Linked DNA regions of Oryctolagus cuniculus. The protein of the gene in region 1 interacts with the protein of each later gene in a biochemical or structural test. Links are inferred from orthologs where the notes say so. Each region holds a gene or a part of one and is shown on either strand. Other genes may lie near its edges. The genes, in order: RAB6A, OCRL, BICD1 and KIF20A.

Region 1 (7,061 bases):
GATTAAAAAAAGACCATGTTGGACACAGAATTGATTTACTACTTTTAGCTTAAAATGTGCTAAATATTTTTTAACTTTCTCAGTTAACTTTCAGTACACAAACAGAACTCTTTAGGGTCTTCAATAATTTGTAAGCTCATAAAGGAGTCTTGAGAAGAAAAAGTGTAAGAAGCACTGATCTAGCCAATATACATCGTTTAGTACTGTTAGTCTCTACCTGGAAAACTTTCCCCCTACCCAGAATACAACATTCAAAAGGGTAGAATTAAAAAGAAGAAAAAGTGCAATGTAAAGCAGAAAAAAGGAATACTAGATTAAGATGTGCTTCTTCCTGCCATTACATTTCCTAAATTAAAATCAGTAGCATTTGTATATATATTAAAATATTCTTCTGTAAAACACTGAATGACATTCCTAAAAATGCCACTGCATTTCAAGACAATGATCAGAGGTAGAAAAAGAAATTCCTGAGAGTAGGCATTGTAGCACAGCAGATTAAGACACCTGTTTGGAGGCATGAGTCCTCTGCTTCTTATCCAACTTCCTGCTAACGCACCTGGGAGGCAGCAGATGACGGGCCAAGAATATGGGTTCCTGTGACCCAAGTGGGAAACTTGGACGGAGGCTCCTGACTTCAGCCTGGCCCAGATTCAGCTGAGAACCAGTGAATGGAAATATCTGACATTCTTTCAAATAAAGTCTACAAACAAAAATCTTGATATTTAAAAAAAGATATTCCTGAAGGAAACTTCAGGAACCGTGTATTTCAACATTTCACATATACTATTGAATTATAGAGAAACCACAGAAAGTTTATACCAGGGGCCAGCATTGTGGCCTAGTGGGTAAAGCCATTGCCTGCGATGCCGGCATCCCATATGGGTGTCCGTTCTCATCCTGGCTACTCCATTTCTTATCCAGCTCCCTGCTTTTTCCCTAGGAAAAGCAGGAAAAGATGACCCAAGTATTTGGGCCCCAGCCACTTGAGGGAGGCATGCATGAAGCTCCTGGCTTCGGCCTGGTCCAGTACTGGGCATTGCAGTCATCTGGGAAGTGAACCAGATGGAAAACTTCCCCCTCTGTCTTGCTCTCTACCCTACCCTCAACTCTTTCAAAATAAATAAATTAAAAAAAAAACAAAAAACAAAAAATTAACTTCACCATAGCAGAAAAATAGCACAGGCTACAACCTTTGGTTACTACTAGATTCAACCACTATTTTATCAAATATTTCTGAGCACTCAATGGGGAACACAATGAACAAAAACAATAACGGGATTTGCATCTTGCTGTGGGAAATAGACAAAAACAACAACAACAAAAAATAATATAATTATAAATGAGGTAAATGCTACTAAAGAAACAAACAAGGCTTTGCCATAGAGTACAGGCTTTGAGAGCTAAATTGTGGAATTCTAACAGATCCAAAAATAAATAATTCATGAAGAATTACATCAAGATGACAGATTCTACAGACCTCTGCTAATGCATAAGAAAACTAGACACTGACCACAGAAAGTGAGATCAATCTTTCATTGTCAAAGCTATTGGGTAATATTACTTAGCAGTACAGTAGCCTTCAAAAGATAATTAACCTCACAATTCAGAGAAAAAAGCATGTAAACACAATCCTGAAAACCGTCTAAGTGGAGCCTATGGACAACTAACCGTAATGTGGTATCCTGAACTGAGTGTTGAAACAGAAAAAGAACATGAGTTAAAAACTAAGGCAATCTAAATTACGGACTTTAGCTAATAACGTCTCAATACTGGCTCACTGTTAATAAACATATCGTACTAATGTAAGATGTCAGTAACAGGGGAAACCAGGTGCAGGAATATATGGACACCCTCCACACTATCATCTCAATGCTTCTGCAAATCTGAAACTGTTCTAAAAAATGAAGCCCATTTTCTTTTTGTAATCTCACAAGGCTTCAAGAATTATAGGAGTAGAGAATTAATAAAACAGCTAACGGAAGTAAACAAAACTCTGTAATTTAGAACATAAACACCTAAGAAATTCAAAAGAATCCTGCAGACTAAAGATCTCTATTTATGCTGAAGTATTCCCAGACACAAAGATTAATGCCTTTCTCATGCAAACTAAATGGCTCTGCAACACAACATAAGGCAGGCAATAACATCCCTAAAGTGCACAATAAGCCCATTAGGGTCTATTTATCAATAATGACCAATAAACTGTATTTTATGCATGGCACTTTCTTGAAACTGCCATATAATAATGGCTGAACCAGTTCCATGGGTTCTAACAATTTGCTCACCTAAAGGAACATGTTCATACTTCAGGAAAATCCACATGCAAAGAGAGGGAGATCGTTTCCTTCCTCTGGTTAAGGGAAGATAATCCATGTATGAAAGGAGACAAGTTATTTTCTAGGTCCAAATGGAGGCAATTTTGCAACAAGCATTAACCTACTATATTGTCATACAAATTAGTATAAATAGTTCAAGGTAATAGTAACAGCTATGAATTTATATCATTGATATGCCTTCCAGTCAAAGCAAATAACTAATGGCTTCTATAACCTCACCTAAGATAACTAGATTTCCAAAACTTGATGACTTGGTACTAGTCTCTCCATTTCTGAAATTAAAGATGGTCATGAAAAATTTGAGAGAAACAAAGGACGGTGACTCTCTCAATTACTGTCAAGTTTGTATAATATAGCATAAAACTATCATTACCATAAGAAGTACTCTTAGAGACAGCCATTACAAAATTAAGATGTTGTATCTAATACAAAATACATCAACAATCCTGACCAGGTAAATGACATAACAATTTCACTCATCAGATACCATAAAACATTAAGCATTAAAAAAAAATTAGCCCAAATGGCATTTAAATCTAATTTAGGTAACTAGATGATGAATCTATTCCTACTCTACTCCATTACCCAAAGGAAATCTTACAAAAGATGTTCATCCTAAGCCTTCTCTCACATAAATCATATATATATATATATTTAAACTGGAAAACACTCAAGAAGAAATGAATAATTAACATTTCCCAGTAATTCCTGTGTGCACCACCATGAGGAGAATCGGACACTGCTTCTTGATGAAAAAAGGGGAGGTGAGATGTTGAAAAATTCCAAGTAAAACGATCATGACATAGCATCTGGCAGAGATCGAAAAAGCATCAACAATGCCCAAAGAATTGTCGGCGATGAAAGTCAAGAGAAAAAATAAGGTTTTGCCGACAAGCCACAGCCCAATCCATGGGGCAAAAAAAAAAAAATCGCCACTGCCGACGACACCGCGCTCACCCCCGACCACCCCATTCTCAAATCGCCCCCAATTTTGAAATATTTCCTCTACAGCCAGACCAATTCCCCACCCAGGTGAAAACCTGCCGCGATTTTTTTTTTCTCCTACGCCCACCACTCCTCCCCTCCCAGGAGCTCAGCACTTCCAAGGGCCAAGCCTCTGGGGAAAACAACGCCCAGCTCCCACCCGCCGTGCCCAAGGTTGAAGAAGGGCCGGTCCCCAGGAGCGGGGGCTTCCCGGGGTGGGCCTCACCTCGCCCGCGAGCTGAGGACGGAGCAGGGGACAAGGGTGGGGCTCAGGAAAGCAGGGGGGTCGAGAGGACGCTGGGGCCCGGAGGAAGAAAGAGATGGACAAGGCGGCTGGGGCTGGGCGGGGTGAGGACGGGCCGGGCTGCGGGGACCCCGGCAGCAGGCAGGCTCGGGACTCGGGGCCGGCGGAAAAATGAAAAACCCGACCCAGCGAGCAGGGCCAAGAGGGGCCGGGGTGGAGCGGAGCGCGGACGCGAGGTCGGCAGGGAGCCTCCGCGGACGGGAGGGCCGCACCGGGGGCGGTGCGGGGAAGCCGCGGCCGGCTGCCAGGAGTGGGGGAGCCGCGCACTCACCGCTCTGCTCCCCCAGGAACACCAGCTTGAATTTCCTCAGCGGATTCCCGAAGTCTCCGCCCGCGGACATGATGGAGCCGGAGGAGCTGCTGCCGCCTCAGCCCAGAGACCGCCCGGACCGACGCTGCTCCAACCGGCTGCCGATAAGGGCGAGCGGAAAGGCGAGTGCCGAGCTCTCTCGGCCCCTGCAGGGCCCCGGCGGAGCAGCGAGGCTGGAGGACGGCGGGACTCGCCACAGACGAGCAGCAGCAGCCGCCGCCTCCCCGCAGAGTCGCCTAACACCGAGCGAGGCCCGCGGCTGGGAGGCGAGGGAGGGCGGTGTCGAAACACCCAGGGCTGTGCTCAGGGCTCCTGAGGCTAGCACCGCTCCCTTCCTCAGCGCCCAGCACGGAGACTGGGGTGGGAGAGGCGGAAGGTGGCGCAGCGGTAGCCGCAGACGCGTCCGGGACCTCTCACACCCAGCTCCTCCGCTGCCGCCGCCGCCGCAGCCCAACCTGCTGAGTGCGCGAGCCTCTGGCGCGGCGCAGGGCGAGCCCGGGCGCGAGCCTGCCGCCCCTCCGGCAGCCGGCGTGCGTGCGTGCGTGCGTGCGCGTGCGCGTGCGCGCCTCCGCCAGCGCCTTCCTGGTCCAGCCAGCTGTCCTCGCTCCTCCCGCGCCGCGGAGTCTAAGGCAGGGAGAACCGAGGAGGGGGCGGGGCGGAGAAAGGGGCGGTATGTGGTTGGGGGGGCAGAGAGGAAAAATGGAACACTTACGTCACTTACGGGGTGGGCCAATGGGAAGAGGCCGAGGGCAGGCAGGGAGCAGAGCGAGGTGGAGGCGCGAGAGCGCGCGCGGCCGTGGAGGCGTGGAAAGCGGACCGCTGCGGCGGCCATGCTGAGTGTGGCAGGGCGCAGCCTGGGGGCGGGAGGTGGAGAAGAGGAGGGAAAGGAAGATGGAGCCGGCGGAGGCGGGGCCGGGACGGAGGCGGAATGACCCCGGCGGTGTGCGGTTGGGACCGGATACCCTCGAGGTGTGAAATAGGTGCCTCTTGCCCGAGCTTTCAGTATTGCCTCACAGCCCTCGGGGCCGCCCTTCTCGCGTGTGCCCACCCCCACCGTCATCTTCATCTTAATTCTTCTCACGGCGTCTTAGACTCGGTTGCTCCAAGGGTGTTTTAGCTGCCAGAATCAGGGCCTCCTTATTCTGCACAGGAGGGAACAAACCCGGAGGGAGGAAATGACTTGCAAAATCCACAGGTTGTGAGGTGGCTCCCAGGTTCATTTGCCACCTGAACCTCTGCGACCCCTTTATTGGTAAACCCATCCAGTTCCCTCGCCTAAACTGGTTTGCTTGCTCCTTCGGCATTGCTAACTCTAGAGTCTAGATGATGCCCACCTTGCCAGAAAAGGGTTTACAGATCAGTTACACTCAGCCCCTTTTCACAGATAATGCAACTGAAGTCCACATAAGAAATTTCTTTCTGGAAGGCTACAAATTAGAAAGCCTGAGCGGTTAAGGGGGCCACCTGCGGCGCCAGCATCCCATATGGGCGCTGGTTCCAGACCCGGATGCTCCACTTCCAATCCAGCTCTCTGCTATGGCCTGGGAAAGCAGTAGAAGATGGCCTAAGTCCTGGCTTTGGATGGACCCAGCTCCTGCCATTGCGGCCATTTGGGGAGTGAACCAGTGGATGGTAGACCTTTCCTTCTCTCTCTCTATCCGCCTGTCTCTCTGTAACTCTACCTTTCAAATAAATAAATCCTAAAAAAAAAAAAAAAAAAAAAAAAAAAAATTACCCTTGCTGCTTGAAGCGGGGATTCTGCCACGAGTGAAGAAGGTTCCTTAAACTAACCCTATGAAGCAGGTGCGTTTTTCTGTGGAGAGGACCCATAGTTTTCATCCCATTTTCAGCCTACTTCATTGTCCAGAAAAGCAAAGTTGGGGTGGGTGTTCTGGCCCGCTGCTTAGGACGCCCACAGCCTCTACTAGATTGCCTGGAATAGTGTCCTGGCTGTCCTTCCCATCCGCCTTCCTGCTAATGTGCCTGGGAGGCAGGAGATGATGGCCAAAGGGCTTGGGTTCCTGCCACCCATGTGGGAGAATCAGATGGGATTCTTGGTTCCTGGGCTTTGGCCTTCCCAGTCTCAGCTATTGCACGCATTTGGAGAGTGAACAAGCCAATGGAAGATTTCTGCCTCTCCCTCCTTAGGTCACTCTTGTCTTTCAAATGAAGAAAGTTGTAAAAAGAAGGTTAACGGCACAACCAAAAAGAATCTAAGAATTACTTAGTATAGTCTGGAAAACTAGGGGCCCACACTGAGGTGTAGTGGATTAAGCTACTGCCTGCAACACCAGTATATCGCATATATTTTTGTTTAAAAAAAAATGTGTGAAACTAACATGACATGCTAACTAACATGACACTAACAAAACAACTAAATGAAAGATTTTAAACATTTTTATTTATTTGAAAGGCAGAGTGACAGAGATGGAGACAAAGACAGAGATCTTCATCCAAATGCCCACACCAGCTGGTGCTGGGCCAGGCTAAAGCCAGGAACCAGAAACTCCACCCAGGTCTGCCACATGGACAGCAGGAAGCCAACTACTTGAGCTATCACCACCATCTCCCAGGGTGAGCGTTAGGAGGAATCTGAAATCAGGAGTGGAGCCTGGAGTCAAACCCAGACACTACCATATGGGATGAGGTTTCCCAGAGTGGCATCTTAACTGCTAGGCCAAATGTCTTCCCTAAAGAAGCTATTTTTTAAAAAACGCTTGCAAACAAAAGCGAATGGCTATTTTTTTTCTTTCTGATGAATACCAGGTTTTTCTTTATGTTTTCTGAAGTAGCTTTTCAAGTAGCATCTGAGATTGGAACTGTAATGACTTTGTATTTCTCCAGAACTCTGTGAATCAACTCTACCCTGATGCTTTGGTCTCTGTGGTCACCCAGTCAGCTAGTGTTATTCCCTGTTATTTTGAAGAGAGGTGTGCCAAAATCCATCTCTTACCTCATAGGTTGGGTGCTAATCACTGATACTTATCAAGTACTCTATGTAAGTCAAATGTTTGAAATTTTATGGTTTGGATGGGCATTTGGTCTAGCCATTAAGATGCCAGTTTAGATGACGGTGTCCCATATTGGACAAACTACCTGGTTTCAATCCCAGCTCTGGCTCCTGACT
Region 2 (7,040 bases), on another chromosome or scaffold:
TCAAAATAACCCTAGTGGCCAACAAAGCAGCATATATCACAATCAGATCGCCTTCACACCCTCTGTGTTTGTCCTCTGGTTTCCAACTTCATGCTGACACTTCTACATAAACACGACTGAACTTGGCTTCCCAGTATGAAATACAAGACTTCTAAATCCATATGTATTCCTGAAAGATGAAGTCTCATTTATTACTTAAACTTAGCACCCCAGAATCAAAACACAACATACTAGTAAGCATTCTCAACGTCAACTAGCTTCCCCAAAGTCAGTTACTCTCCAAGTGGTTCTTTTTTCCAGCAATACTATTTTCTTCCTGAGAATTGGATCAAATACCACTTCCTCTGTGAAGCTTTGCTCTGTAACCCCAAGTAGAACCAGAAGTCTTATTCCCTTTGCTTGTCCTTCTAATTAAACACACATGCTCCATTATAGTTCTACTGATTTGAGCTCCTTGAAAGCAAAAACCCTATCATATTGTTTTGTTTAATAGATGCCCAATAAATACTGGAGGAATAAATGAACTAGCTTAATCAAGCTATAAGCAGAGGTAAGAATTTCTAAACATCATTAAATTCAAATACATTTTTTAAATGTTCAAATACATTTAAAAAAAAAATTGTTTCTTTAATTTTACTTGAAAGGCAGAGAGAAGAGAGAGCTTCCACTTGCTTGTTCATTCCCAAAATGCCTGCAAGAGCCAGGGCCAGGAGAGGTTGAAGCCAGGATCCCAGAAACCAATCTAGGCTCCTATGTGGGTATCAGGGACCCATACTTGAGCTGTTATCTGCTGCCTCCTAGGTTGCCCATCGGCAGGAAGTGGAGTAGTTGAGACTTGAACAAAACTCTGATAAGGGATGCAGGTGTCCCAGGTGGTACTTTAAGTGCTACACCAAATGCCCACCTCCATTTGTCCAACCTCTGACATTAAAAATGTCATTGCTTTGAAGAGTCTGATTTCGTGCTGCTGTCTTTTTAAGGGACTGGTTTTCATTTTTTTTCAAATCTAATTCTGAAGAGGATAACGAGGTCTAAGTTACTGCTTACATAGAACTAAAGGAAATGGCAGTGTTAATGCTGTTTTCCTGCTCTGATCCTGCTTGCCCAATTTGAAGTGGTTTACATTTTAAGTTGACTATAGGAATGTGGGGCAGGTCCCTTTCAACCTCAAAAGCTCATGAGTTGCCTAAGAGTCCGCTAACCTCATACAGAGACCGGAAAGTAGATAAAAGGCTGAGAAAGCAAGGGTCAAAGAGGAAGAGCTTACTTTGAGGAAAATGAACACAAACCATTTTAGTCTCAAAATCTGGAGAACAGAAATTGTGCTGAACATTAGCAGTAGAGCTTCGACTGTACTGTGTAAGGATACTTCAAAAAGTTTACGGAAAAATGGAATAAAAAGATAAATTTATTGATGCAAAAAGTTTGAAATCCACATTTCTTTTTCATAACACACATTTCCAAGAACCTTTTTGAAGTGCCCTTGTGTACAGTATTAGGTGTCTCCAGGAAATGATTCCAAAAGAAACTATATATATATATATATACACACAACTATATGTTATATAGTTTCGGATATCGGTTACGGCTACTTCTTAACTGTGAACAAATGACTTAATCTCTCTATATCTCAATTTCTATATCTCTAAAAGCTGGGTGATGAGAATAACTCTCACATGAGAGTTAAATGAACTAATTAATGGTAAGCGCTTTGAACAGTACCTGGCATATATCAAGGCATTAACTGCCAGTTGTTACTATATTCCCATACCTTATATAGAATTGGCACACAAGAATCTGATTTCTCTACAAATACACATAGCCAGGAGAGCTGCTACTGCCTAGTTAAAAAATTCTTCAAGAGCCAGAGAACATAAGGCACATATCTCAAGGCCAGACGCATACTCCCTCATTCTCCAAATCTGCTTAACCAAGGGACCAGATCCTGGGCTGTGGTCATCTCAACAATGCAGCTATTGTATTCAACCCTCTAAATTTTGTTTTTACAGAAGAGGAAACCAAGGCACAGAAATCCACAGGTTTGTTCAAGGGTCACATCTCTCCACTGGATCCTACCCTTTGAAAGTTGCAGTGGTAGCCCACTTTTCAATTCAGCTTCCTGAAGAATTTAGTTTCATTAAACTGGTCTTCCAAGGTTTGATGAAATCTGGGGAAAACAGTGTGAATTTCCCACATGAATGGAACTGACCAATCAGGACTTAGGGAAGGGCTACTCCACAGAACCTGTTGACATGCACTTAGAGTGGCACTAGCAACCTCCAATAAGAGCAGACTAGGCCTGTGGGAATGTCTTCTGTGCAATTTGGACATCTGGACAAGAGACACAGAGGATGGAAGTGGGACAGGATGGAGGGGTGGGATTTTGGCCTGGAAGTTAAGACGCTGGTTGGGGTGTACACATCAGAGTGGCTGGGTTTCAGCATTGACTTCTGGCTTCCTACTGACGATGCACACGGTTGGAAGCAGCAGGTGATGGCTCAAGCAGTTGAGTCCCTGCCACCCACGTGGGAGACCGGGATTGAGTACCCAGCTTTCCCTTGGTCCAGCCCAGGCTACTGCAGGCATTTGAGGAGTGAACCAGCAGATGGGAGCTCTATTTCTTCCTCTCTTTTTTTGTTGAGAGACGGCTAGATTCAAGTGATCAACAATTTTTTAAAAAGATATATCTATTTAGTTGAAAGTCAGAGTTAGAAAGAGAGATATCTACCTATCCCCCATCCACTGGTTCACTCCCCAAATGGCTACAATGGCTGGAGGCAGGCTAGTGCAAAGCCAGGAACCAGGAGTTTCATCTGGGCCACCCAAGTGGGTGCAGGGGCTCAAGGATTTGAGATAGGCTCAAGGACTTGGCCCATCTTTCCCAGGTGCATTAGCAGAGAGCTGGATCACAAGTAGAGCAGCTGGGACTGAAACCTGTGCCCATACAGGATGTCGGCACTGCAGACAGCAGCTTATCCAGCTGTGCCACAGTGCCTGCCTGAAGGATGAACAATTTTTAAACCAGGAAGAAACCTGATGTAAAGAAACCAGTGAAAAAGGACTAGTACTGTGGCATAATGGGTAAAGCCACTGCCTGCAGTGCTGGCATCCCATATGGACATCGGCTTGTGTCCCTGCTGTTCCTCTTCCAATCCAGCTCTCTGCTATGGCCTGGGAAAGGCAGCAGCAGACGGCACGAGTGTCTGGGCTCCTGCTACCAAGGTGGGAGATCTATAAGAAGCTCCTGGCTTTGGCCTGGCCCAGTTCTGGCCACTGTGGCCATTTGAGGAGTGAACCAGCAGATGGAAGATCTCTGTCTCTCCCTCTCTCTGTGTGGCTGTGACTTTCAAATAAAATAAAATAAATCTTTAAAAAAAGAAAAACAAACAAGAAACCGGTGGGCATATGGGGTAGGGAGCCTATGTTGCCTAATGGTCACCATGGATACTCTCACGCTGAGGAAGCAGTGGCAAGGGAGTGAGGTTGGCAGCTCTGGTGACAGCTTATCAAGATAATCTTTTGATCAATCAGTCAGCAGTATTTACTGAGCTCCTGTGTCTAAGACAGAGTGGAAGGTAACAGACACTGTTAAAATCCCCACTTATATTTCTACACATTTCCTTACTTTTTCTTTCCAACAGTTAACTGCAGCAGTTAATGGCCCATCCTAACCCATAACTGAATTAATGAATATGCCTTCAAGCAAGTGGAATAAGGGGGTGGGGAGACTGGAGGAACCAGCCGAATGGAGTTAAGACAAGTCTGTAACATTAACAATGAAGCATTTCCATGGCACTTTTACATTTTGGAAAGCACTTTTGCACTTATCATTCCCCCAGTTATTACCTTATGCCTTATGTGAGTTACACATTGTAAAGGCTAAAAGGTAAGGCAGTTTGTTTTTATTCCTCCGATGAGGAAACTAAGGCCCAAAAAGCTTTATTGGTTTGCTCAAGGTTACACAACCCACGTCAGTGCAGCCTGCCCAGTGATTCCCTCCACCGAGCCACACTACCCGGCACAGTCTAGTGGCTTGGAAGTTGGGGACAAAGCCCCATGGTTAAGGAGCACTGTCACTTCACACCTAGGCCAGAACCTGTTGCCAGCGTGGGAGGAGAGGCGCTGGCTCGTCGCAGGTTGGGGTTGGCAGGCAAAGCCAGGCTCCCCTCCTCCGTGAGAATCAGGTGGTTACTTACTCATACTGCCCATTCCTCTGGGCTAGGGTCAGGACGCAGGGCTCGCGGAGAGGACCCTTCATCTCCATACCCTCCACAGTATGCGGGCGCTAGTCAAGGGTCTCCTGTAGACGCGCAGTCGGGGATGGGTGCGTGGTGCAGGGCGGAGAGTCTCCTGCCCCGCTGGCCGCCTTCCCCCGCCCCCCTAGGCGTAGCCTCCCGCACCCACCCCTCCCTCGCTCCGCTCGGCCTCTTGGCCCCGCGATCCTCCCGCTCCCCCGTGCTCCGCAGTGCCCCAGACCCCCATCCCCCGCCCTGTGCGGCCTCCCTTCCCCCTTCTCTCGGCGGATACGGCAAGGGGCTGGGCTCCGACCGGGAGCGGCGGCTCCATTCGGGCGGCCTCTGGGCTCTGCGGGGTTGTGGATTGCGGGCGGATCCGACGACACTGCCTCCCGCGTCCTCACACCCACCCGCCTGGGCTACGCGTCGTTTCAGAAACTGCTCGGCGCCGGGCTCCAGAAGCCAGGAGCCGGGAGCCCGGAGTCGTGAGCCGGGAGCGGGGAGCCGGGAATGGAGAGCCTGACCCAAGAGAGAGCGGCGCCTCGCGCCCCCGCCAGCTTTCCAGGCCGCCGCAGATTCCGCCCCCTGTGGCCAACCTGCAGAACTGCAGCGACAGACCCGACGGACTGGGGGCGTCTCCACCAACGTCCAGCAAAGGATGTTTTACATGTTTTCTGTGACACTACAATTGTGCTGAGATCTCTGAAGACTGCCACATAAGCCAAACACTGTCATATATATGAAAGAACTCAAACGTGTTGGGCCAATAGGATCCACATCTTCTAGTCAAAAAATCCTTAACAGGATACAATGCATCATATTGGTTATCCCCCCCCCTTTAAACAGATCTATCTATTTATTTAAAAGACATAATTACAGAGAGAGACAGAGAAATTCTCCATCCGCTGGTTCACTACCCAAATGTCCCGGAAGCCAGGACCCTGGAAATCCATCCAGTCTCCCACATGGGTGGCAGGGGCCATCCTCAGCTGCCTTTCCAGGTTCATTAGCAGGGAGCTGTATCAGAAGCGGAGCAGCCTGGACATGAACCGGCAGGCTAGCGTTGCCCCTGCCTGCAGCTTCAGCTTAATCCCGGATGTGCCACAATGCCTGTACTTCTTCTATCTCTTAAATTGGAAAATCAGGGGACGGTGCTGTGGCATAGCCGGTAAAGACACTGCCTGCAGTGCCGGCATCCCATATGGGCGCGGGTTATAGTCCTGGCTGCTCCACTTCCAATCCAGCTCTCTGCTATGGCCTCGGAAAGCAGTGGAAGATGGCCCAAGTCCTTGGGCACCTGCACCCATGTGGGAGACCCAGAGGAAGCTCCTGGCTCTCCTGGCTTTGGATCGCTGCAGCTCCGGCCATTGCGGCCAACTGGGGAGTGAACCAAAGGATGGAAGATCTCTCTCTCTCTCTCTGCCTCTCCTCTCTCTGTGTGTAATTCTGACTTTCAAATAAATAATCTTAAAAAAAAATAAATTGGAAAATCCCCCAAAATGCTGACCTTTACTTCTACTTTGAACCTCCTCCAGGTGGCTTCTAAGCAAGCAACGTCTAAATGTATATCCCTGGCCAAACCTCTCACCTGATGTACCTCACTGATAATGAACATGGTGACAGGATTAATTCATCATTTCACATAGTTAACGGGGATTGAAACCTCAAAGCCATAGCTTTCTTCTCTTTCCTAATATCCGTCTCTAATCTGTCAACAATTTTTGTTAACCTTTTCTTTGGAATTACTTTTAGATTCCTGATTTTCAATTCGTACTGCATCACCTTACTGTAAGCCCTTCTGATATCCTATTGAGGTTACAGCATTTTCCCTAAACAAATCCTGTTGGCTTTAATCTCTGCTTTGACCTTTTTACTTTGCTGACAGTCATAAAAATATTCTTCCCAGAGTAATGTTTCCTTTTAAGAAAAAGACTCCCTAATTTATCTGAAAGGCAGAATGACTCAGAAAAAGAGCTATTTTCCATCTGCTGTTTCACTCCCCAAATGGCTGCAACAGCTAGATGTAGGCCAGGCCAAAGCCAGGAGCCAGGAACTTCATCCTGTCCCCCATATGGGTTGCAGGAGCCCAGGTACTTGAACAATCTTCTAAGTCATAGTATCAGGAAGCTGGACTGGAAGCAGAGCTGCTGGGACTCCAATCAGCTCTTGGATATGGGATGCTGGCATTACAAGCAGCTGCTTAACCTACTGCATCACAATGCTAGTCCCCCAAAGTATTGTTTCAATCCTGTTACCCACTTTCTCCAGAAATCTGTAATGGACTAGGTATCAAGACTGACTTTAAACCTACAGTAATTAAGAGTACAGTATAGGGGCTGGCGCTGTGGCGTAGCAGGTTAAGCCGCCACCTGCAGTGCCGGTATCCCATATGGGCATCAGTTTGAGGCCCGGCTGCTCCACTTCTGATCTAGCTCTCTGCTGTGGCCTGGGAAAGCAGTGGAAGATGGCCCAAGTGCTTGGGCCCCTGCAACCATGTGGAAGACCTGGGGGAAGATCCTGGCTCCTGGCTTCAGATTGGCGCAGCTACGGCTGTTGCGGCCATTTGGGGAGTGAACCAGTTGATGGAAGACCTCTCTCTCTCCACCTCTCCTCTCTGTGTAACTCTGACTTTCAAATAAATAAATAAATCTTTTTAAAAAATAGTACAGTATAGAGATAGACCAATGGAACAGAATATAGAGCCTCCAAACACACTCTCACACATGTATGGTAAGTCAAAACTTAGGATATCTGACATTCCAAGTCAGTGGAGAAAGACTGAATCAGCCACAAAATTGTAGGATG
Region 3 (7,167 bases), on another chromosome or scaffold:
TAGCATGTCACAAAATGTGATTTTTTTCCTAAACATTTGTAAGTAAGTGTTCTGTAAGCAACTGGAGGCTCCTAGAATAAAGAAGTATAAGGAAACCTTGCTTTGAGGAGTGGTTCAAGAACTTACTTTCTGGGGTAGAAATTTGGTCTAGTAGTTAAGTTACCGCTTAGGATGCCGGCATCCCCTATCAGAGTGCCTGGTTCAAGTCCTGCCTCCTCTGCTTCCCATCCAGCTTTCTATAACGTGCACTCCAGAAGACAGCAGGCGATGGCTCCAGTGCTTGGATCCCTGCCACAGAGAGCTGGATTGAGTTCCTGGCTCCAGACTTCATTCAGCTGTCTCAGCTCTGGCTGTTCAAAGCATCTGGGGAGAGAACCAGCAGAATAAAGATTTTTCTCTCTCTGCCTTTCAAAGACAAGGAAATAAAAATTTTAAAACAAATTATTTTCTACATACTTGTCATTGATATATATATATACACATACATATTTATAATTGGTATACATGATTATAGTAACCTGCAGAAATAGAAGGGCATGGTGTATGAGGAAGTAAGCACTCCTTCATGTTAAATACCTACACATATAGTTGCTTAGTTCAACATTGAACTAAGCAAGTTATTCTTAAAATTATTTATGCATTTATTTTTACTCTATTTGAAAGGAGAGAGAAAAAGAGAGAGAGAGAGAGAGAGAGAGAGAGAGAGAGAGAGAGAGATAAAGCGCCGTTGGTTCATTTCCCAAATGCCTGCAACAGAGCAGCCAGGGTTGGGACAGGCTGAAGCCAGTAGCCTGGAAACTCCATCATGGGTGGCAGGGACCCAGTATTCAAGTCACCACCTACGGCCTCCTAGGATATGCACTAAAGGAATGTTGGATCTCAAGCAAAATACCTGGGACTTGAACCAGGCACCGCAATATGGAATATGCAAATCCCAAACAGTGACTTAAATCTCTGTGCCAAACGCCTACCCCTGAATTCAGCAAAATTTTAAAGTATTGCTGGATGTGCTTGGATGAAGTTGGACTGAAGGTATTAACAGAAAGGCATCCGTCAGAAAAACGGGGCAGGATAGAGCACAGAGAATGGGCAGCATGGAAACTTAGACAAAGGAAAATCACGGAGCCCAACTACTGTCTCAGTCCTTGCCAAAGCAAAGGGGGATCCAGGCAGTGTTCTCCAGCCAGTGGCCCCTTTGGAGGGCTATGCTCAGAGTGCTGGCATGAGCAATGGCCAGGGACTTACCTGGATGAGGCCGGTGAGGTGAGGGGGAGCAGGTGTCATCAGCAGTGGGCCATCCTTCCTCAGTGACACAGAAGACAGAGGGGAGCAGAGGAGGGACTCTCAGCTGCAGGGATGGGGCGATGTGTTCCTGGTCACCCCCTATCTGTAGGAGGTCAGAGTTCATGGTGCCTCCACATTTTGAGTGTTTTCTCCTTTGACTTACCGACTTCTTAGGTCGGATACTCACACGAGAACACACTGCTGGGATGCTCAGCACTTGGAGGGACTCTTTCGTGCCTTTCCTGAGGCAGTGCAAATCGCCAGCAGACAGCCTGCTGGGGTTGCTCATTTGCCCCCTCCACAGCAGCAGCCTCTGTTTTAGTAAGAAAACTGCCCTGTGTGCTGAACACATTTTGGCCGCTGAGACAGCGTGGGAAGAAGTCCCCTGGAGAGTGGACAGGGGCTAGTTAGACCCAGTAGTCACCCAGGCGTGTGAAATTGCTCCTTTTCCTTTTTTTTTTAAATTTCATTTTTAATTTTCATGTTAATTAACTTTTAGCAGATTCACTATGATTTGTAGACACGGACGTAAGGAATCCTTGGTTGTTCTTGGTTCTCATCTCCCCGGGTCTCTGCCACCGCTTCTACTCTGCATTCGGCTCTTTGTGTCTCTTCCTCATTGCCCTCACACTGACTCCCCAGGCGTTCTCTGGGGGGCTCTCAGGAGCCTGAAATGCTTGGTTGCTGAGTTTGTGTCCGTCATGTGTGAAGACCAAGTCCACGGAGGGGTCCTGTGCAGGGCTCTGCAGCGGGATTCAGATCATCAGTGGTCTTGCGGAGAAGATGCTCATGGGTATGGACTTAACGAATGCCTGATCCTGCACACATCAGCCCTCCATGCCTTCTTCTCCCATTACAAACGGGGAGGGGGTCCTGGTTCCTGCCTCAGACAGTTGTTGTGTTTGGAAAGAATGGTGCGGCAGACCCAGAAGCAAGCCTGCACGTGGTCCAAGAACTCTTCAGTTCAAATGTTTATTGTAGGGTCTTGCTGATGCCTTATATGGGGAATTTCGTGCTATTATCCTTTACTGAGCAATCAGAGGCAGATGGCACTTTGACAGAACCACCATTGGGGTTAGGAAGTACAGCTTCTGGAACCTTACGGGGCGCCTGCTGCCTGGCGGTGCTTTTCTGAGCCGACTGATCTTGGGATAAGATGGGCACAGCACGCCGGCCAGCCCGGAGGACCAGGCCGGACCAGAGATGGGGGAGGCGGGCACCTCGGAGCGCGTCAGGCCTTGGAGACGTCGCGGTTGTTGGGTGAAGCAGGCCGGGAAGGCTGTGCGGGCGCCCACCGCGGTAGCCTGGCTCGCTTTTCTCTGGAGCAGGCGCCCACTCCAGGCTTTCCCGAGCTCCAGAGTGGACGCCCAGGTCACCCCCGGGGGCTTGGACGTGCGCCGGGACAAAGCCAGCAGTGAACGCCCGCCCCCCACCCCGTGCGCACATCCCGCCGCCCCCGCCCCGACCCCGTGCGCCTTCCCGGCGGAGCAGCTGGCGGCGGCCCCGCGCGCCGGCGGGAGGCGCCTCGGGAGCGCCCGGCCGGTCCCGCCCCTCCCCGCGCGCCGACTCCACGCTCCCCGCCCCCTCCGGCGGCGGCGGCAGCGGCGGCCGCGGCCGGGCGGGACCGGAGGGCGCCGGGAGCGCCTGCATCACTGGGCGCGGGCTGCAGCGGAGCCGGAGTGAGCAGGTGCAGCGAGGAGCGCGCGCCGCGGCCGGGTGCTACTGCAGTGGCGCGGCCGGGAGACATGGCGGCCGCGCGCCCCTGAGGACGCGGAGCCCGGAGCCCCCCGGCGCCCCGCCCGGGCCATGCGGCGCGGCCCCTGAGCGCTCCCGGGGGCCGGCGCCCCGGACGCGGCCGTGAGCGCCCGCCGCGACCCAGCATCCGCGCGCGCGCGGCCTCGGCTCCCCGGACGCGCGGCTGCGAGCCGGCGCCGCACTCTGCCTGGCGTCCCCGCCGGCCTTGGCCGGCTCGCTCCGCCGCCGCCCGTGCGCCTCCTCCGCCTCGCGCGCCGGGGCTATGGCCGCGGCCGAGGCGCTGCAGACGGCGGACCAGTACCAGGCCGAGATCGAGCGGCTGACCAGGGAGCTCACGGAGACGACGCACGAGAAGATCCAGGCGGCCGAGTACGGGCTGGCGGTGCTGGAGGAGAAGCTGGCCCTGAAGCAGCAGTACGACGACCTGGAGGCCTCCTACGACGGCCTCAAGCAGGAGCTGGAGCAGCTGCGAGAGGTGAGGGCGCGCGGCCGGGGCTGCGACTGGGCCCCTGGGTGGGTGGGAGAGGCTGGGGCGCCCTTTGTTTTTCTCCCGAGAGGAAGATCACCCACGAACCGAGTCGCGGGCTGGAACGTGGTGGGGCAGTGCCCGAGGGGCGGAGAGGTCGGAGGGGTCCCCGAGGGCGGCGTTCAGCGGCGTTGGAACGCGCGCACCCAACTTCTCTCTCCGTTCGGTGTCGGCTCCGTGCCGGTGACCGTGACCGTCCCGGGTTTGCGCCCCAGGACGCGCGGTTCCGGATCTGCGCCAGGTGCGCCGGGTGGGAGAGGGAACTGTGGTGCGGAGAAGTCTTGAGCAGTTCGGGTCGCCGGGGGCTGGGCTGGGCCCTGTGGCCCTTCAGGTCGTTGGGCTTAAGGAGACGTTAAAGCGATTTTGCTGCCCGACGCAGCCGCCAGTGGGTTTGCCCCTGAGGCCCGGGAACGGGGAACTCCCCTGCGAGTGCTCCCGGGGCGCCTCGCCTGTCGGGGGCCGGGTGGCCCTGCGTGTCCGAGGAGGCACACGGTGTGGGGATGACGGTGGCCAGGAAGCCAGAACACCGCACGTCGTGTGTCCTCCCTGCTGTTTGAGGAGCGCCGTCTGCTTCCCCTGGTCGCTGAGGCGCTGGGGGTGGCAGGGAACTGGCCAGGAATGCAAATGAATATACACAAGTCTGTGTTTTAGGCGCCTGTTGGCGTTTTAAAAGCTAATTCTTGTTTGACATACAGTGTTCTCAAAATCTTTTCTTACAAGGTAAGTTTGTGTTTTTTTTTTGGTGGGGGGAGGTGTCGTGTGTTGTTACAGTTAAAAAACATGATTTATAACCTATCCGACACCCAGCCTTCTAAATGAGTACATAATACAGTAAGCATTTATACTTTCGGAGATGCCTTATTTTCTTCTGATGCCTAAATACCAAGAAATTGATGTAGTACATGTGCTTAAAAACCCAAGTGGAAATTAATTTTTATGTATCAGGCTGTCAGTGTCTAGTCTGTGCTTTGTTTTGTTTTTTAAACCGTGCGCACGTCTGTTCTCAGCAGCGGCTGGATTTGTTTATATTTTCCAAATTGGATTAGGTCTTGGTCTGACATGTGTCCGTGCCGTGGCGGGAGCCTCTTGGAGGAAGGCGACAGGATGAGGACTGTAATTCTTGGAGCTGTGTTGCTGCTGTCTTCACCTCTCCGCGCTGATTAGCGGAGTGCAGAGCAGTCGGTGTGAGGGCATCACCTTCTTGGTGCAGGAGGGGTTTCATGTGCTGAAATGGAACGAAACTTTGCCTGGCCTTCCTGCTTGACTTCAGCTAGGGAGTCTGTCCTTGCACTTCCCCTGCGTGGTGAACCTTGCTGCAGTTGGCTGTGGCGTTTAGAAGACCACAGGCTCTTGAGACGAGAAACCTATTATTTATTTACTTCAAATAGACACACAAAATGGTTTGTGTTTGTCACTGATGACATGATGATTTGAAGCATATACACACCATGGAATGGTTAAATCTATCTGATTGTTGCAAATATGTTACTTCCTAGTTATTTACACAGTGAGAACACTTACCCACTGTATGCATCTTTTGAGAATACAGTGTAGCTTCATTAACTGTAGTTGTCTTGCTGTGCCATGGATCTCTTCAACTTATTCCTGCTGTGAGAGTGACATTATGAATCCTTGGACTAATACCTCCCCACCCCTCCTCCACCCAACCACCCCAGCCTCTTGTAACCTCCCTCCGTCCCTCCCTCCCTCCCTCCCATCTTTCCTTCTTCGACTTATTGCAAAGGCATAGAGAGAGTGAGCGAGAGAGAGCGAGAGAGAGCGAGAGCTCTTCTGTCAGCTGGCTCCTTTCCAAGTGCTCACAACAGCCAGAGCTGGGCCAGGCTGAAGCTAGGAGTTGGAAACTCAATCTGAGTATTTCACACAGGAGACAGGAAGTGATGGTAGAACTTGATCCCAGGCACTTAGATGTGGGATGGGAGTGTCCCAAGCAGCAGCTTAACCACAGTACCTGCCTCTGACATTTTCCTAAGAAAACTGGAAGTGTAGAAAGTGACTAGTAAAGGGGGAGGCCTTGTGGTGCACTGGTTAGGGCTGCCATGTGCAGTGCTGGCATCCCTGACACCAGAGCTCCTGTCTGAGTCAGCTGCTCTGCTTCTGATTCAGCCTCTGCTCATGCACTTTGGAGGCAGCAGATGATGGCACTGGTACTTGAGTCCCTGCCACCCATGTGGGAGACCGGGATGGAGTTCCTGGCTCCTGATTTCAGTCTTACCCAGTCCCAGATGTTGTGGGCATTTGGGCAGTGAAACAGTGGGTAGAAGATCTCTTTCTCCCTTTCCCTCTCTTACTTTGTCTTTCAAATAAATAAATTAGCTAGTCTTCAAAAACTATTAGTTTCATTATCAGTACTGAGAAAAATGAGGAAAAATGTTTTGTAGGAATAATATCAGTGGTTTCTTAATGCAGAGTAATGAAAATATCATAATTTTTCTTTTTTTAAAAAATATTTATTTATTTGAAAGGCAGAGAGTTACAGAGAGGCAGAGAGAGAGAGAGGCAGAGAGAGAGAGAGAGACCTTCCATCTGATGGTTTACTCCCCAAATGGTTGTAATGGCTGGAGCTACACCAGTTTGAAGCCGGGAGCCAAGAGCTTCTTCTGGGTCTCCCACATGGGTGCAGGGGCCCAAGCACTTGGGCCGTCTTCTAGTGCTTTCCCAGACCATAGCAGAGAGCTGGATCAGAAATGAAGCGGCCGGCAGTTGAACTGGCACTCATATGGGATACCAGCACTGCAGGTGGTGGCTTTATCCTCCTCCCCCTTCTTAAAAAAATTTTTTTTAAATTTATTTGAGAGATAAAGTTACAGACAGAGAGAGGGAGAGACAGAGAGATAGATCTTCTATCCACTGGTTCACTTTCCCAATAACTGCAATGGCCGGAATTGAGCTGATCCAAAGCCAGGAGCCAGGAGCTTCCTCTGGATTTCTCATATGGGTGTAGGGGCCCAAGGATTTGGGCCATCCCCTGCTGCTTTCCCAGGCACATTAGCAGGGAGCTGGATTGGAAGTGGAGCAGCTGGGACTCGAACTGGCGGCCATATGGGATGCTGGTGTTGCAGTCCAGGGCCTTAACACGCTGTGTCACAGCACTGGCCCCCATAATTTTTCTATAAAAATATGTAATTTTTAAATACAAATTTTAAGTAGATTTTTTTCTATGTGGTAGGATGCTAATAATAACTATTTAGGATTATTCTTGCCAAATGGCACTTATTTATATGTGCATTTTGAGCTGCATTTAGCATAAGTAAACATATTTAAGTTTTTAATAAACTGGCTAAATACAGTTTTATGAAAATATATTTTAGAATAAAACCACTGTACTTGATTATTTGATAGCAGGACTTATGGCTTTCATGCTGTTGATGCGATTTATACTTCAGTTGGATTATCACTTAAATGAGCTAAAGCAGACTCAAGTAGTGTTTTCTGTTGGAAAAGTAAGTCTACCATATTGGTGCAAACTGAGGCTTTCAAATGATGATAGCCTAAAGAAGCCATTTTTGCAAAACGTATTTTGTGAGTGGCCTGATTTCTTCATGATCAGGTTTATGTAGTAAATGATGTAATACGGTACCTGT
Region 4 (7,220 bases), on another chromosome or scaffold:
ACTACAAGGTAAGAAAAAGGGGAGAAGTCATTGCATATTTTCCATGGCGAGATGCAGGACTGATAATGCCTGGATATAGTGAAGAGTTTATTTTTACAATCCACTTACCTGCGGCTGGAATTCTGGTTCAGGTGGGTGCTGGCAAAACTCTGGTTCTTACGACCCACCTTCAGGAGTTTCCAGGCCTCCTCAGCATCTTGAACATGAATCCAATTGAGATCTGAGGTCAAAGTAGAGAGGGGCATAAGATACAAACTCCTAGCTCTTCCTAGTGTCTTCCCAAGTCCCCTCTAGGGTTCACGCCAGCCTCCCCAGTAGTCCCATACCTTTTACATAGGGATTGCCATTTTGATCTTCACATAGCCGTAGAGTCTGCCTTTTGCGCTGCTGGTTAGGCGGTTCTAACAGATCATAAATCAGTTCATTATAGATCTCAAAGAAGGAGATCCAGATGGAGAAGCGAATGTCTGCTGGGACACTTACTGGGGCAGTGTCTGGCTGTGCCCATCGGTGACTTGTTTCTGGGGAAGAAGCCAACATATAAAGCATTAGCCCTAGCGCAGTCTATCTCACTTTTGGCCTATGGGGAGCCTCAGAAGGCAGAGCTCAGACCTCTGGCACTTATTGGTATCAAAGAATGGATTCCTGCTGTTACCTGACATAGAACTAAGTCACAGTACATACCATCTAACTGGCTACTGCTGGTAAACTGACTGGTGGACGACAGCCCAGCAATGCCACTGTCAAAGCTGATGCTGGTACCCATCCGGCTCTCAATGTAGACACTCCTCTTCAAGGAGGTGGACAGCTCCTCCTGGAGGGGTGGCAAGGACAAGGTTAGCATAAAACTTTCTTGAGATTTGTAGCTACTGCCCCAGCGTCCATGTATACCAACATTTTACCTCCTGGAGGCCTCCATTTAGTAGGGAGAGCTTCTTCATTTCCTCCTGTCGGATCTGCTTGCTGTCTAGCCAGATTACCTCATTGGAAAGCAAGGGCTTCAGGTCAGGTGTCGGATGAAGTTGGCCTTGGAGGCTGCTGAAGATCAGAGCCAGGGATCGGGGCAGGATCCCTCCATCCTTGATGGTACCTAGAGGTATACAGAAGATGCACAGCTGAAACAAGTCCTTTCTGTCCCTAACTTGCAGGATCAAAAAGTAAAGAAAAAAAATCATTATAAGCCAGTCAGCAACACTGTGTAGCTGTACTACTCACCTTGAATTGTGTGGGTTTTCCCTGAGTTGGTGACTCCATAGGTGTAGATGAGCCAGCTCTGCCCTTTGATTACATCCTTTACCATTTCCTTCACAGTCAGGTTGAAGAAGGATGCCTGTCCGACTTCCGGCCCGAAGATCTAGAGACAGACCCAGCTTCTCAGAGACGGATCCTTTCCCTTCCCTTCTCCCATGCAGAGCCAGCATGGCATATCCCTTCATAGTGGTTTGCTCTGGAAACCACCCAAGGGTTCCTTCTTATAGTGCTGCCAGAAGTTCCCCAAATGCCAACAACTCAACCACTCTGCTAGTGCGTCTTTCATCCAGCTCAACACATACTTAGGCAGTGCTATGCACTGGGCCTCGTGCTGCACACTCAGCGAGGCAGCACAGTGGTCCCAAGCACAGGCTTTGGAGATGGACGATCAGGATCCAAGTCCTAAGTCCACCACTAACAATCAGCTCGGCTTTGGCAACATTACTGCTGCTGAACCAGAGACTCCTTGTCAAGAAAATAGGGATAATGGTAATAATAAGAACTGTTGGATATTAATGCACATGAAGTAATTGGCATAATGATGAGCACATGTCAAGGGCCCCCAGAATTGTAGATGTGTGCATAAATAAGGAACTTATAACAGAGAGAAGCCCTCCTTCTCAAGAGGAAACAAGTTGCCACTAGAAGCTTGTCCCTTATTCACAGACCAGTTCCTCCATACCTGGGAAAAGGTAAACTTGTGGGTGGCTTGACCAATTCCTCGCTCAGTGCTCTTCTGGGCAAAGGAATCCTTGGGTGCTTGTAAAACCAGGGTCTCCACATTCTCCACACGGACACAGCCCTTTGATGGAGGAAAATAGTTGTCACACAGGAAAACATTCCTGGGAACCTCTTCTCTACTACATGATTCCATTTAAATTACTCCCTCCTCACTCACCTGATCCTCTTGTCGTTCCAACTCTGAAGGTAACAAGGGCCTGACCCTCAGGTAAACTTTCACCTTCTCTGCACTGTCTGGTGGAACCTGTGGCAGAATTCCAATCCGGAACCATGGATTAATCTCAGCAGCCCCCTCTGAGCAAATGGCAAACAGCACAGTTCCTAGGAATCACACTGACATCACCCCATTCCATTCCAAATGTCTGTGCAGCTAGTCTTGGTTCCACAATCATTCCAACCTACACACACTTTTCTTTTTTTACTACTTTCTCACCCTTTTCTGTCTTATCAGTATCCTCCAAACCTAGTTTGCCATACCAATTATCTGAGTTAGAAGTGGTTGATTGGTATGAAAATCTGTATGTGATACTATTGGATATCAAGTCATTAAGCTGCTGGGAGGCTGCAAGGCAGACGCAATTGAATTTGAGTTCCAATTCCATCATTTAGTAACTATGAAGCCTTGAACAAGCTTTTAAAATGTTTTGCCTCAGTTTCCTCATCTGTAGAATGGAGTTAATAGCACCCAGTTCAAGCATTCAACAGACATTCAAAGTGCCCACTATGGCCCAAACTCCAACAGGTTCTGGTAGTCCATGAGGGACACTGTCAAGGACTCGATTCTGATGGAACTTTAAGTTCCTAAGAAAAACTCTAAGAAAGGACAGGAGTTGTCACTGTGGCATGCAGTGCAGATGCCTGCAGCGCCTGCATCCCATGAGTGCCGGTCTGTTCCTATCCCGGCCGCTCCTCTTCTGATCCAGCTCTCTGCTATGGCCTGGGAAAGCAGCAGAAGATGGCCCTCAGGCATAGGCCCTGGGAGTCCCAGAAGAAGCTTCTGGCTCCTGGCTCCAGATCAGCCCAGCTCCAGCTATTACAGCCATTTGGGGAGTGAATCAGCAGATGTAAGATCTCTATCTCTTTCTCTCTGTAACTTTATCTCTCAAATAAATAAACAAATCTTAAAAAAAAAAAAAAAGATAAGAAAAAAAAGACAATATAACAAAGCATGTTAACATTTAGCAGGGGCTGGTGCTGTGGCATACTGGGTAAAGCTGTCATCTCCAGTGTGAACATCCCATATGGACACTGGTTCAAGACCCGCCGCTCCACTTCCGATCTAGCTTTCTGCTATGGCCTGGGAAAGCAGAAGATGGCCCAAGTCCTTGGGCCCCTGCACCCGTGTCGGGGACCCAGAAGAAGTTCCTGGCTTCTGGCTTCAGAACAGCTCAGCTCCGGCCCTTGTGGCCATCTGGGGAGTAGACTAGTGGATGGATACCTCTCTCTGCCTCTGCCTTTCAAATAAATAAATAAATAAATCTTATAAAAAAAACCACACAAACACATTCAGCATTGGGCCTAGTAAAGTGGCTCTCAACCAGGGCCATTTCTCCACTTCTCCCAGCTACAAGGGGCATTTAGTGATCTCTAGACTTTTTGGTCATCAGAATAGGGAAGTTACTACTGACATCCAGTGGACAGAGGCCAAGAATGCTGTTAAACACCTTACCATACAAAGGCCAACCCCCACAAGAAAGACTATGGCCCCAAATGTCAAATAATGCTGTGGCTGAGAAACCTTGGCCTAGCGGAAAGCTAAACAAATGGTTGATGTTGCTAAGCCATTGCACTTAACACCAGGACGAACTTGTGCAAATTATCCAACACTTAACTGGGCCTCGTGGTGAAGAGAAGGAACTGCTCTCTCCCTTGGAGCTAACCATGAGCAGGAACTTGAGGCCACATATTCTACGGGGTTTTTGCTTGTCATACCCTTAATTCTGAATTGCTATCTCAGAACTTCTACCTTGCGTGGACAACTGTGGCTAAGGCCTTCCGCCGCCCGAGCCACTCCCCCTAGTCCTTTACCTGTGGCTTGTCCTCTAGAGAGGCGGAAATGACGGAGCAGTCCGACAGCAGTTCCTTGCGAACCACAGACCCCAGATCTGCAGCTGTGGACTCAAACATGGGGGAGACGCCCACCTCCTCATCTGACAGAAAGCCCGTGGGCGGAGAAAGGATCCCATGCGACATGACAGCAGGGGGCAGCCGAGGTCTGAAAGGAGACAAGAAAGTGAAGCAAGGACTTGGGACGAAGAGGCTTCAAACCAGGTTAAAAAAAAAAAGGCCCAGTCCCAAGACACCTGGCCCGGCTGCCAGAATTGCTACGCCCTTCCCCACCCACTGCCCCAGCCCCAGTATCTTATCTGCAGAGGGAAAGGCGATGAGGATTGAAAGTTAATCCAGCCTAAGGCGGCATTTTCGAAGGCGAACGTTAATCCTGGGCTATCAGGTTGCAAAAGCGGAAGGCCACGCTCCGAGGAGGGAGCCTGGCTCGCCGGGGCTGGGAGGATCGCAGGCTCCACCGACTGCACCCCAACGCCCACCGAGACGAGGCGTCTCCAGTTCCGCTTTCCGGACGCCTACTCCTCGCGGGCAAGAGCTGGTAACGCTGCGTGCAGCCCGTCCGCACACTCACCCGAGGCCGTGACACTCGCTCCTTCTGCGGTACCAGCTTACGTCTCGTTCCGAATCACTTCGTCGGCTGCCTGAGAGTAAAACTCCACCCACGAGGTGCAGCTTTGTTCCCGATACAATGTTTTAAACTACGCGCTGCGTTCGCTCGGCCAATCAGCTGGCGAAGCCTGTAGCTACCAATCAGCGTAAGGGAAGGAGGCGGGGACGACTGGGAGACCGTTTACTTGAGCGTGACCTCTCAACTGCAATGTGGGTCCGGGTTACCAACCGTTGCGGGCTCTCAGGTGTCTCACCTGGGATTCCTGACTCTTTTCCTTGAAGTCTAGACATTTCGTTCCCAAGAGGCCTAAAAGAAGTGGTGAAGTTTTAGTCGCCATTTTGTCTTTTATGTGGTAACAGCCCTTTCCCGGAACGCACAAGACCGCTGGTTCAGAGCGTTCGCTACGTCTTCGGAGAGAAAACTACATTTCCCAGGAGGCACCGCGAAGCAACGCCCGTACTCTATTTCCCAGAGTTCCCGGAGATCGGCCGAGTCGGACTGCCTCTCCTCAGGAGCTAGACTTCGGAGCCAAGATGGCGACGGGGACGGGCAGTGAGTATCGGGGCTGCTTTTGTTTGGGAGGCCGTTGGGGAGCCGGGGTTAAACACCACATTTCTGTCGCACGGCTAGGAAATCGAAAGAGTGGTTTGGCGGGGAGCCCGGAGTCCTCAGGGATTTGGGCTAGGCCGTGTCGTGAAGATAAGCGTCGGAGGGCCCCAGAGTTTACGGTCTTTCACCTCAGGGAGGGAGAAGGACGAGAAAAACAGCTCCGTGAATTTTTGTGTTATGAGCTGTGTAGGGTCAGAGGTAAAGGCAGCTTGGAAACCTGGGGTTGCTGATGAAGAGTTGTCGCGAGCTCTGTGGGAGTGGCAGGCATTTCAAAGAGCCAGTCATTCTCGGACCAACGTTGCGAGGCAGTGGAAGTGCGTATTTGAGCCGTGGGCTTTTTTCTGTCCGTGGGGAAGTTGCGTTTCGTGCGTTTCAGCCATTTCCGTGTTTGGGGTAGGAGAGGACCTTCAGGCCCGACGGTTGGGGGGAAGGGGCCGTTGGGAGTAAACAAGTTTATGCTAAGAGGGAGGCGGGGCCGGCGGCCGCTCGGAATCCTGGGAAATAAGCCCTTCCGTTCAAATTGGAATCCTTGTATTCTAGTGACAGCCTGATTCACCTTTTTTTTTTTTTTTTTTTAGATTTATTTATTTTTACTTGAAAACCAGAGTTACACAGAGAGAGGAGAGGCAGAGAGAGAGAGAGAGGGAGAGAGGGGTCTTCATCCACTGGTTCACGCCCCAATTGGCCTCAACGCCAGAGCGGCGCTGATCCCAAGTCAGGAGCCGGGAGCTTCCTCCAGGTCTCCCTTGTGGCTGCAGGGGCCCAAGGACTTGGGCCATCTTCTGCTGTTTTTCCAGGCCACAGCAGAGAGCTGGATTGGAAGTGGAGCCGCCGGGTCTCGAATCGGCGCCCTTATGGGATGCCGGCACTGCAGGCGGCGGCTTTACCCACTATGCCACAGCACCGACCCCAACTGGTTCGTCTTAATCTGGCATTCTCTCCCCATTCCCTGCCTTTTTTTTTTTTTTTTTTTTAATCTGAGCTTGAGCTATGGCATTTGAAAAAATATAATGCTATAATGCCAGTGTAAAGAATACAGTAGGTGCCATCGCCGGTGGTGTGGTGAAAATCAAGAATCTTTGATATTTGTATTGGGCTTTCAGTCCTTTCTTTGACACAGAAAACTTTCCCAGTGGTGGTCTCCAAGCCTTTTTTCCTTTCAGAACACAAGCTGCTGAGTACTGGCCCCACAGAGCCATGGTCCATCCGAGAGAAGCTGTGTTTAGCATCTTCTGTCATGAGGAGTGGAGATCAAAATTGGTAAGATGCTTTTTGGATCTTAGGAATTGTTGCATATTTTCAACATTGGGTTTTTTAGTCATATTAGTGTGAGTAGTATTTCTTTCTTAATAGCTTTAGTGGTATATAATTTGTAGAACTAACTCATTTAAAATAAACAATTCAGTGGTTTTTAGTATATTCACAGAATTGTACAACTAACATCATAATTAATTTTACATTATTCCTTCTCCCTAAAAAAATTATTTTCATTTTATTTGAAGAACTGAGACAGATGGGTCTTCATCCTGTTTCACTTTCTAAATGCCTGCATCAGTGGGAACTGAGCCCAGAACTCAGTCAGGCCTCCCGCATGGAAGGTGGGGTCCCTAGTACTTAAGCCATCACTGCTGCCTCTCAGAATGTACATTAGCTGGAAGCTGGAATTGGAATCAGAGCCAGGACTTGAACCTAGGCACTCTAATATGGAACGTGAGCATCTCAATCAGCATCTTCACACCACACCAAAGGCCTGCTCTTGCACTATTATTATTTTTATTGTTTTACAAAATTATTTATTTCATTGTGCAAATATATAAAAGGTTTACTTAATTATCTGGAAGGCAGAATTACAGAGAGAAAGGGAGAGCTCTTCCATCTGCTGGCTCACTCCCCAAATGACCACAGTTGCCCAGGGTGATCCAGGCTAAAACCAGGAGTCTGT

The links.
Region 2: the proteins of RAB6A (region 1) and OCRL form a complex in vitro, tested with the Homo sapiens proteins (2 studies listed by BioGRID and IntAct, with this or other methods). The link is inferred for Oryctolagus cuniculus from reciprocal best matches to the Homo sapiens genes RAB6A and OCRL.
Region 3: the proteins of RAB6A (region 1) and BICD1 form a complex in vitro, tested with the Homo sapiens proteins (3 studies listed by BioGRID). The link is inferred for Oryctolagus cuniculus from reciprocal best matches to the Homo sapiens genes RAB6A and BICD1.
Region 4: the proteins of RAB6A (region 1) and KIF20A form a complex in vitro, tested with the Homo sapiens proteins (2 studies listed by BioGRID). The link is inferred for Oryctolagus cuniculus from reciprocal best matches to the Homo sapiens genes RAB6A and KIF20A.

Annotation. Positions count from the first base shown.
Region 1 is NC_091432.1:65,086,812-65,093,872, forward strand, and holds the start of RAB6A (ras-related protein Rab-6A), read right to left. Parts: upstream 4,483-7,061; 5' UTR 3,966-4,482; coding exon 3,896-3,965; intron 2,351-3,895; exon of another isoform or gene 2,323-2,350; coding exon of another isoform or gene 2,286-2,322; intron 1-2,285. UniProt on the Homo sapiens protein: The small GTPases Rab are key regulators of intracellular membrane trafficking, from the formation of transport vesicles to their fusion with membranes.
Region 2 is NC_091453.1:107,239,440-107,246,479, reverse strand, and holds the start of OCRL (inositol polyphosphate 5-phosphatase OCRL), read right to left. Parts: upstream 4,801-7,040; 5' UTR 4,567-4,800; coding exon 4,528-4,566; intron 4,277-4,527; coding exon 4,197-4,276; intron 1-4,196. UniProt on the Homo sapiens protein: Catalyzes the hydrolysis of the 5-position phosphate of phosphatidylinositol 4,5-bisphosphate (PtdIns(4,5)P2) and phosphatidylinositol-3,4,5-bisphosphate (PtdIns(3,4,5)P3), with the greatest catalytic activity towards PtdIns(4,5)P2.
Region 3 is NC_091440.1:128,273,526-128,280,692, forward strand, and holds the start of BICD1 (protein bicaudal D homolog 1), read left to right. Parts: upstream 1-2,938; 5' UTR 2,939-3,301; coding exon 3,302-3,514; intron 3,515-7,167. UniProt on the Homo sapiens protein: Regulates coat complex coatomer protein I (COPI)-independent Golgi-endoplasmic reticulum transport by recruiting the dynein-dynactin motor complex.
Region 4 is NC_091437.1:25,990,925-25,998,144, reverse strand, and holds the start of KIF20A (kinesin-like protein KIF20A), read right to left. Parts: upstream 4,854-7,220; 5' UTR 4,631-4,853; intron 4,208-4,630; 5' UTR 4,186-4,207; coding exon 4,021-4,185; intron 2,237-4,020; coding exon 2,150-2,236; intron 2,054-2,149; coding exon 1,934-2,053; intron 1,355-1,933; coding exon 1,216-1,354; intron 1,091-1,215; coding exon 903-1,090; intron 815-902; coding exon 685-814; intron 522-684; coding exon 327-521; intron 221-326; coding exon 109-220; intron 2-108; coding exon 1-1. Other genes in the region: BRD8 (bromodomain-containing protein 8), read left to right, coding at 5,203-5,221, 6,442-6,538. UniProt on the Homo sapiens protein: Mitotic kinesin required for chromosome passenger complex (CPC)-mediated cytokinesis. Following phosphorylation by PLK1, involved in recruitment of PLK1 to the central spindle. Interacts with guanosine triphosphate (GTP)-bound forms of RAB6A and RAB6B.